Linked DNA regions of Macaca mulatta. Each later gene encodes a partner of the first gene's protein in a complex. Links are inferred from orthologs where the notes say so. Each region holds a gene or a part of one and is shown on either strand. Other genes may lie near its edges. The genes, in order: POLE4 and POLE2.

Evidence for each region.
Region 2: POLE4 (region 1) and POLE2 share a complex: the UniProt entries of both Homo sapiens proteins name them as parts of the DNA polymerase epsilon complex. The link is inferred for Macaca mulatta from reciprocal best matches to the Homo sapiens genes POLE4 and POLE2.

Annotation. Positions count from the first base shown.
Region 1 is NC_133418.1:49,825,193-49,829,646, reverse strand, and holds the start of POLE4 (DNA polymerase epsilon subunit 4), read left to right. Parts: upstream 1-1,568; 5' UTR 1,569-1,595; coding exon 1,596-1,808; intron 1,809-2,264; coding exon 2,265-2,349; intron 2,350-3,029; coding exon 3,030-3,071; intron 3,072-4,454. UniProt on the Homo sapiens protein: Accessory component of the DNA polymerase epsilon complex. Participates in DNA repair and in chromosomal DNA replication.
Region 2 is NC_133412.1:122,890,401-122,894,216, forward strand, and holds part of POLE2 (DNA polymerase epsilon subunit 2), read right to left. Parts: intron 2,767-3,816; coding exon 2,683-2,766; intron 1,518-2,682; coding exon 1,461-1,517; intron 1,029-1,460; coding exon 980-1,028; intron 1-979. UniProt on the Homo sapiens protein: Accessory component of the DNA polymerase epsilon complex. Participates in DNA repair and in chromosomal DNA replication.

The DNA.
Region 1 (4,454 bases):
TTCTACACAGCTATCGCCTCTTCATATAACCTAAGCATAAAAATAGACAGTTTCCTCTAGGTCTTGTGGTTTGCATTTTTGGACTCTCATGTCATGTAAAACTTGGATTGAATAGATTTGTTATGCTTTTTTGTGTGTGTTATAGGAGCGTCAGCTGTGACCCTTAAAATGGGTAAAGAAAGTTTTCACACCTTTCCACCCGTACACCAGTCAGAGTTTACTACATAATTTTGGAATTGAGTGATTTCAGATGTCAATTAATTCAGCTTCATCTTGGCTTCACCACATTCTGTCGTGTGTGTGTGTGACTCAGTAACCACTCTGCGCCTCAATGTTTTCAAGTAAGGTTTCAATAATAAGGTTAAGCTTATTTTGTAAAATAAGGTTAAAATATATAGGGTATTGTGAAAATGACAGAAGTTATGATTTACATAAATGTAAAACACTTTGAATCATGCACATACTAAATGCTCAAAGGGGTTCACTATTATTATGATTGACTTAGATTAAAGCTATTGTAAATATTAACTGTTCCTCTATGCTATCAGACCTCAAAGTGTGGTGTGGGGATTCATGGGGGTGGGAATTTTCTGGAGACCCTTTTCAGGAGTCCATGAGGTCAAAATTATTTTCTTAATACTACTAAGAGGTTATTTGTATTTTTCATTCACATTCTCTCAAGGAGATGCAGTAGTTTTTCAGAGTTACCTGAGAAGTGCTAACGTTATCAACAGAAGCAGCTAGAGAATCCAGTTCTCACATGAAATCAGACATTAGAGACTTTTCTTACTAGATTCATTTTTTAAAAAAAGTTTCTTGTCATAAAAATGTTTGTTAGCTCGTAATGCATTAGTAATTTTAAATCAGTATTTTAAAACTTTAATTCTAATACAGTAAGTACTGATATAACTGACAGAAACAAAAGCTACTTGGGCTCTTTAGTAATCTTTAAGACCGTAAAGGTATCTTGAGGTCAAATTTGAGAACCAAAGCTGTGATGCAACCTGTTTTTGAACAAACGTGGATGCCTTACAACCACAATTTCATCCTTTCCAGCCTCCATGACTTTTTCTTGTTTCCTCTGGCTGGGCTGAATTTCTTCTTATCTGCCTGCAAAAGCCCTACTCCTCCTTCAAGAGCATCCATAACTGAATTTGGTCCAGACTTCGCTGCCTCCCTGGCATCCTCTTCCACGATGCTGGGACCTCCAGGGCCGGGCCTCCCTCGGACACGTGCCCTCCTTAGCCTTGGGGTATTAACATTGTTTTGACGGAGGCTCTCTTGCGAGCCCAGTCTAGATTTCTCCCCTTACCAGCCTGGCACAGGCACCAAGGGGAGGTGCCTGGGCTCCACAGGCCCAACGGGCCAGAGGGTCACCAGTAGCGTCAACCAAGGGCACGACAGCCCAAGGGTGGCCAGGCGCGAGGGAAAAGCCGGAGCCCAGTCCCAGCCCACCCGGTTTCCGGCACCGCCCTGCCGCGTAGGGGCGGAGTCGCGCGCCTACACAGGGTGTGGCCTCCAGCCCGCGCGGGAAAGGGCCTGCGCCGCATGCGCGCGCACAGTCGGCGGCCGCGCGCAGCACGCTCAGGGCCGGGATGGCAGCGGCGGCGGCGGCAGGAAGCGGGACACCCCGAGAGGAGGAGGGACCTGCTGGGGAGGCAGCGGCCTTGCAGCCCCAAGCCCCAACGAGTGTGCCTGGGGCTCGTCTCTCGAGGTTGCCTCTGGCGCGAGTGAAGGCCTTGGTGAAGGCGGACCCCGACGTGACGCTAGCCGGACAGGAAGCCATCTTCATTCTGGCACGAGCCGCGGTGCGGCAGCAGCGCGAGGGCACGCGGGGGTGGGGGAGGTGGAGCGCGGGGCGGAGCCTCGGGGCCTTCCGCGGGCGGGGCTTAGGGTGGCGTGGGCCGGGTTTTGAGATGTGGGTGTGGACCCGGAAGGCGGAGGAAAGGGGCCGGGGACCTATGCGAGTTGTGTGTTTTGTTAACACTCCTCCCTCTTGTTGAGGACCTGGTTAGTGAGTGACTTTAATTTGTATCTCCAGGGCCTCATACAGAACTTGTAGGAGACTTTAGTGAATGAAGGAGAATCCTGGGAAGAGGGTGGCGGAATGGATGTTCATGAAGTCCAGGACAATCTTAGCTTCCAGAACATTTTCTTGCCCCTGAGCCTGCCTTCTCCCTCTCTGCCCCCACCCACAAACCAGAGCCCTCACCTCCTCAGTGTGCTAGAACCCATTACTAAAACTTTGCTTTTTTACTTCACAGGAACTGTTTGTGGAGACCATTGCAAAAGATGCCTACTGTTGTGCTCAGCAGGGAAAAAGGAAAACTCTTCAGAGGAGAGACTTGGGTAGAGTGGCACTGCCAGTGTCTGGGGACAGAGAAGGGAGGGCTGGGCTGGTTTTACCTTGCGCAGGTTGAGAAGACGTCACTCTGATCTGAGAGGTCCCACAGCGTCTCTCCCCAGGATGGTTTCTGTTGGCCACAGTGCCAGGAAGCCCTACCTGTAGAGGCTCTCTGCTTGGGGTGGTGGAGCAGTGTGTGGTGTCTGGGGTTGCCAAAGCGGACTGGATCCCTTCATACCTTCTGCCAAATTGCACCAGAAAAAGATAATTCTTTTTCACCTAGCAACTGGGGATTTGATTTCTGACTCTTGTCTGGTTGGTAACCCTCACCTGTGTAAGCTTTCATATACCGTGTTCTCATGCGCCCTGCGTCTATTGTCACATTCTTCTCTGATAACTTTAAGAGCAAAGCGAATAAATAATTTAGATGTATTTTAGGAGCCCCCTCCCCCCCCCGCATTGAATGGTATTTGCCTACACTTTTCTTACTCTTCTAGGGAGACAACTAATACATATATGAGAGTTGCTGGTAGAGTAGATACGGATCTCAAGGCAGCAAGGGACGCATCTTATAATTGCCCTCATTTGCCCAAAGCCTCATGCCCTTCACTGTAGATTGTGCTGTTTTCTGACTGACGTCAGCATGGCTGGAGTTAGTCAGGTGTCTCTTTGCCTTGTGTTTCAGATAATGCAATAGAAGCTGTGGATGAATTTGCTTTTCTGGAAGGTGAGTTCTCTCTCAGTGGGCAGTCATTTCCACCTGTCTTTTGCATGTTAATGTGAAATTCAAAACCTCATAAAACGGATGCCTGCTTCTTGTTTGTGTAGGGATAATTCTTTCTCCGTACTTGCTGTTAGAAAAAAGTAACTTGCTAAATGAGGTTCAGTTTTCTCCCTTGGGGAATTAAAACTTCTACCTGAAAATTGCTAGCCATAAAGAAATAGGAGGGAATATAAAGATCCCAGTGTAGTTAGATGAATTCAGAAGTTTGATTCCTATCTTGTTCGCCATACCTAGATATCAGCCTTGCCCCTCTTATCATGTTAGAGATCAGAAACAATTGTCAACATTTAAAGGGTGACCGCTTGTTCTTTTTTCTTCAACAATCTGTGTGAAGTGATTATTTTGCTGCAATAAGACTTGTCTGTGTTTTTAGGAGTCATGGATTAACTTGTGTACTAACTAAATTTTTTCATTAAAAAAGCAAATATTTGAAATACCTAATTTTAGCTACCTTGCCTCAGAGCTATTTCTGCTACTTAATTTTTTTTTTTTCTTTTTTGAGACGGGGTCTCGCTCTGTCGCCCAGGCTGTAGTGTGGTGGCGCGATCTCGGCTCACTGCAAGCTCCGCCTCCCGGGTTCACGCCATTCTCCTGCCTCAGCCTCCCCAAGTAGCTAGGACTACAGGCGCCTGCCGCCACGCCCGGCTAATTTTTTTTTTTTGCATTTTTAGTAGAGATGGGGTTTCACTGTGTTAGCCAGGATGGTCTCGATCTCCTGACCTTGTGATCCGCCCGCCTCGGCCTCCCAAAGTGTTAGGATTACAGGCGTGAGCCACCGCACCAGGCCGCTACTTAATTCTTAAATCTGATCAGCTTACTCTTCACTACACATATATAGTCATGTGCTGCATAGTAACATTTTGGTCAGCCATGGACTGCTCACATGAGGGTGGTCCCAGCAGATTATAATGGAGCTGAAAAATTCCTGTTGCCCAGTGAGGTAGTGGTCATAACATCCTAATGAAATACATTACCTTTTCTATGTTTAGATATGTTTAAAAACGCTTATCACCATGTTACATTTGCCTACAGTATTCAGTACAGTAACATACTGTTCAAGTCTGTAGCCTGAGAGCAATAGGTATACCCTGTAGACTAAGTGTATAGTAGGCTATACCATCTAACTTTGTGTAAGTACACTCTATGGTGTTCACACAGTGGTGAAATCGCCTGAAGATGTAATGCATTTCTTACGATGTATCCTTGTTGTTGAGCGACACATGACTGTATTTTGATTGAGTAGCTTGGCAAAAGCCATGTATCCTCATTTCATTCTCCCGGGGTGTTCTCATTACCTCCTCTAAGCCTTATTACCTTTAGAAATCT
Region 2 (3,816 bases), on another chromosome or scaffold:
TTGAAATACATATTAGGAAATGTTTCATTTTATGGCCCTATATAAAATTAAGTGTTTTTTCCAACTTTATTGAGATATCATTCACATACTATACAATTCACCCTTTAAAAGTATATAATTCAGGGCCGGGCGCAGTGGCTCATGCCTGTAATCCCAGCACTTTGGGAGGCTGAGGTGGGCGGATCACAAGAAACCATCCTGGCTAACATGGTGAAACCTCGTCTCTACTAAAAATACAAAAATAAAAAAAAAATTAACCAGGTGTAGTGGCAGGCAACTGTAGTCCCAGCTACTAAGGAGGCCAAGGCAGGAGAATGGCGTGAACCCAGGAGGTGGAGCTTGCAGTGAGCCGAGATTGTGCCATTGCACTTCAGCCTGGGCGACAGAGTGAGACTCCGTCTCAAAAAAAAAACAAAAAAAAAAGTGCATAATTCAGGTCGGGCATGGCTCATGCCTGTAATCCCAACACTTTGGGAGGCCAAGACAGGTGGATTGCCTGAGCTCAGGAGTTTGAAACCAGCCTGGGCAACATGGTGAAACCCCGTCTCTACTAAAATACAAAAAATTAGCCAGGCATGGTGGCATGCACCTATAATCCCAGCTACTCGGAAGGCTGAGGCATAAGAATCACTTGAACCCAGGAGGCGGAGGTTGCAGTGAGCCGAGATCACACCACTGCACTCCAGCCTAGGTGACATAGTGAGACTCTGTCTCAAAAAAAAAAAAAAGTGTATCATTTGGTGATTTTTAGTATATTCACAAGTTGTATAGCCATTACTACTATCTAATTTCAGAACATTTTCATCACCCCAAAAAGATATCTATTAGCCCATTAACAGTCTAAGAGTTATTTTGCCAAAAATATGCTCTTCTAATTAATGGTATCCCAAATTATATCATGTTAACATATTTTACCCAAAGCAGAAATAGTTTTACTGGAGAATGAGAAGGAGGACAGTAACAAAGTATACTGACTTACCTTCTGCTAAGACAAAGCATGCCTCTGTGTATAAACCACTATGGAACTGGTATACAACAGCTGAGGAAAATAATTCTATTCTTGAGGCAGTAATAAAGTCAACATACATTTTGAGACCAATAAGGCTTCTAAATAATAAATTCAAAGACTTCCCATTTGAAACTGTGAATAGACCACAGCTTAGAAAGAGCTTTAAAAAATTTAGGTTTAAATGTCCTCATGTTTAATTCTTGGTAATATTGACAGGGTGGATCATTCTTATCATGATATAAACTTCGTCAGTCATTCGTCTAGATTCTTCAAATAAGAGGAAATTAAAGTTGTTCTGTCTCTGTTTAGGATTATATCTCTATATTCCTATACCAGCAACATAGAGAAGTTACATTGAGAACCCAAATAGGTAAGTTTTAGAAGGATATATAATCAATTTCCCCAATTCACATAATGCAGATTTTAAAAAATACAGACAAGTGAAGGATATAGCTTTACTAAGGTCTAGTTGTACTGTTCCAGTAGGATCTTCCAGAAAAAATTTTCCCTAAAAAAAAAATGAAAAGAAATAAATCCACATTTATGTAACAATGAAAACTATGACCAAAAAATGAAACTACAAGTTTGACAACAGAATACAGTAGGGAGAAAAGTGGATTTTAAAAATCAGCTATGATTTCTAGTCCAGGCTCTTCCATTTACTAGTTTGATAACCCCAGACTAATCACTTAACTGAGATTCTGACTCCTCACAGGTACAAAATGGAGAATGACTCCTACAGATAAAAAATGGCAAGAGGGACACTCAATGTCTGCCATACGGAGGGTCTCCCCAGGTACCTTCTAAGACAGCCAACAGCATCTCCAAGTGACCAGGACATACTCTGCAGATTGCTTGTTCAGAAACCCAGTACTCTCTGTTTATCCAGAGGTCACTAGGGGCCTAATTTCAGGCTATGCAAACTGGGCTCCCAGACAAGACACTGTCCTGATGTCTACTCAGGAAACCAACCACAAACGAAAAAGACACTTGGTAACTGAGAAAAGTTTTTTGTGTTTTTGTTTTCTGGTTTTTTTGACTATTACAAAAGTTTATTTAACAAAAAGTCTAATATGAAAATGAACATGACCTAATTTTTACATCATTGTAAAACAGGCCCTATGGAGACAGGAAATGGGTTTCTCTGCTGAACAGCCATTATTTTATTTTATTTATTTATTTATTTTGAGACAAAGTTTCGCTCTTGTTGCCCAGGCTAGAGTGCAATGGCACCATCTCGGCTCACTGCAACCTCCACCTCCTGGGTTCAAGCAATTCTCCTGCCTCAGCCTCCAGAGTAGCTGGGATTACAGGCATGCGCCACCACACCCGGCTAATTTTGTATTTTTAGTAGAGACAGGGTTTCTCCATGTTGGTCAGGCTGGTCTCGAACTCCTGGCCTCAGGTGATCCGCCTGCCTCGGACTCCTAAAGTGGCTGGGATTACAGGCGTGAGCCACTATGCCTGGCCAACAGCCATTATTTATCCTTATTCCAAGGCTTCTAACATGATGATACTATTTCCTTATATTACCACTATTCCAATATTTTTCTGTTGGTGAGGCGAGTTTTCAATAAAGAGTACATTCCTGTGCCCGCCACAAAAATGTTCTATGTAACCGACATTTTATCAATCCAAGGCCAAAACTAAAAGTTTGATGTTTATTAAGTTACCTCTTTTAACTGCGTTATCATTCCAAGAACAATCACATCTCCGATTTTGGTTGTACTACCCAATAAGGTTTCTATTGTTTTAAGCTAAAATAAAACAAAATAAATTTTAAAGACTATAAATATATTCTTTCAAGAAACTAAACTTTTTATAAGTAAGTAAATTTGGGGTACACATTTCAGCATTTATAACTACTTTACAGTAGAAAATCAAATAAAATGGAAATAAAGTTGTAAAATTAAACTTAGGATGTTTAATTTTGTCCTACAAAAAAGCTGTAAGATCAAGTGTATGATGGCCTGAAAGAATCATGCCTAAAGAAACACCACATCAACTCAGGCTCTTACCAATGACTGAATCCACACCATATCATTCCGAATAATGATAAGTACATTTATTTTTAAAATATAGAAAAGAATATCAATTTTATTTTATTTGAACAGTACCTTTTGAAAATTAGCAAGCTATTTAAAAATATATATTCTAATTTTACTTAGTATTTTAAAAGGCTCTCATTATTATTTACATTCTCAATCTGATCTTTTTTTCTAATCAGAAAGTTTAAGGTAGTAAAAATTGGGACACCATTGTAAAAAATCCTTGCCACCCGGGCACAGTGGCTCACACCTGTAATCCCAGCACTTTGGGAGGCCAAGGCGGGCGGATCACAAGGTCAGGAGATCGAGACCACAGTGAAACCCCATCTCTACTAAAAATACAAAAAATTAGCCGGGCGTGGTGGTGGGCGCCTGTAGTCCCAGCTACTCAGGAGGCTGAGGCAGGAAAATGGCGTGAACCCAGGAGGCAGAGCTTGCAGTGAGCTGATATCACGCCACTGCACTCCAGCCTGGGCAACAGAGCAAGATTACATCTCAAAAAAATAAAAATAAAAATAAAATAAAATAAAATAAAAATTCCTTTCTAACTTTTTCTGTATGTAATCCTAAATATATGTAAATACATACATATATAACTTATGACACACACCTATACAGTTTATTCACAAAGATGAAATCATAGTATATGTACTATTCTGCAACTTAACTTTTTGAAGTTAATATCTGAGATATCTTTCCACTTTTCTACATATAAATTTCCTTCTGTTTAAAGAATAGAGATATCTATATTATACATAT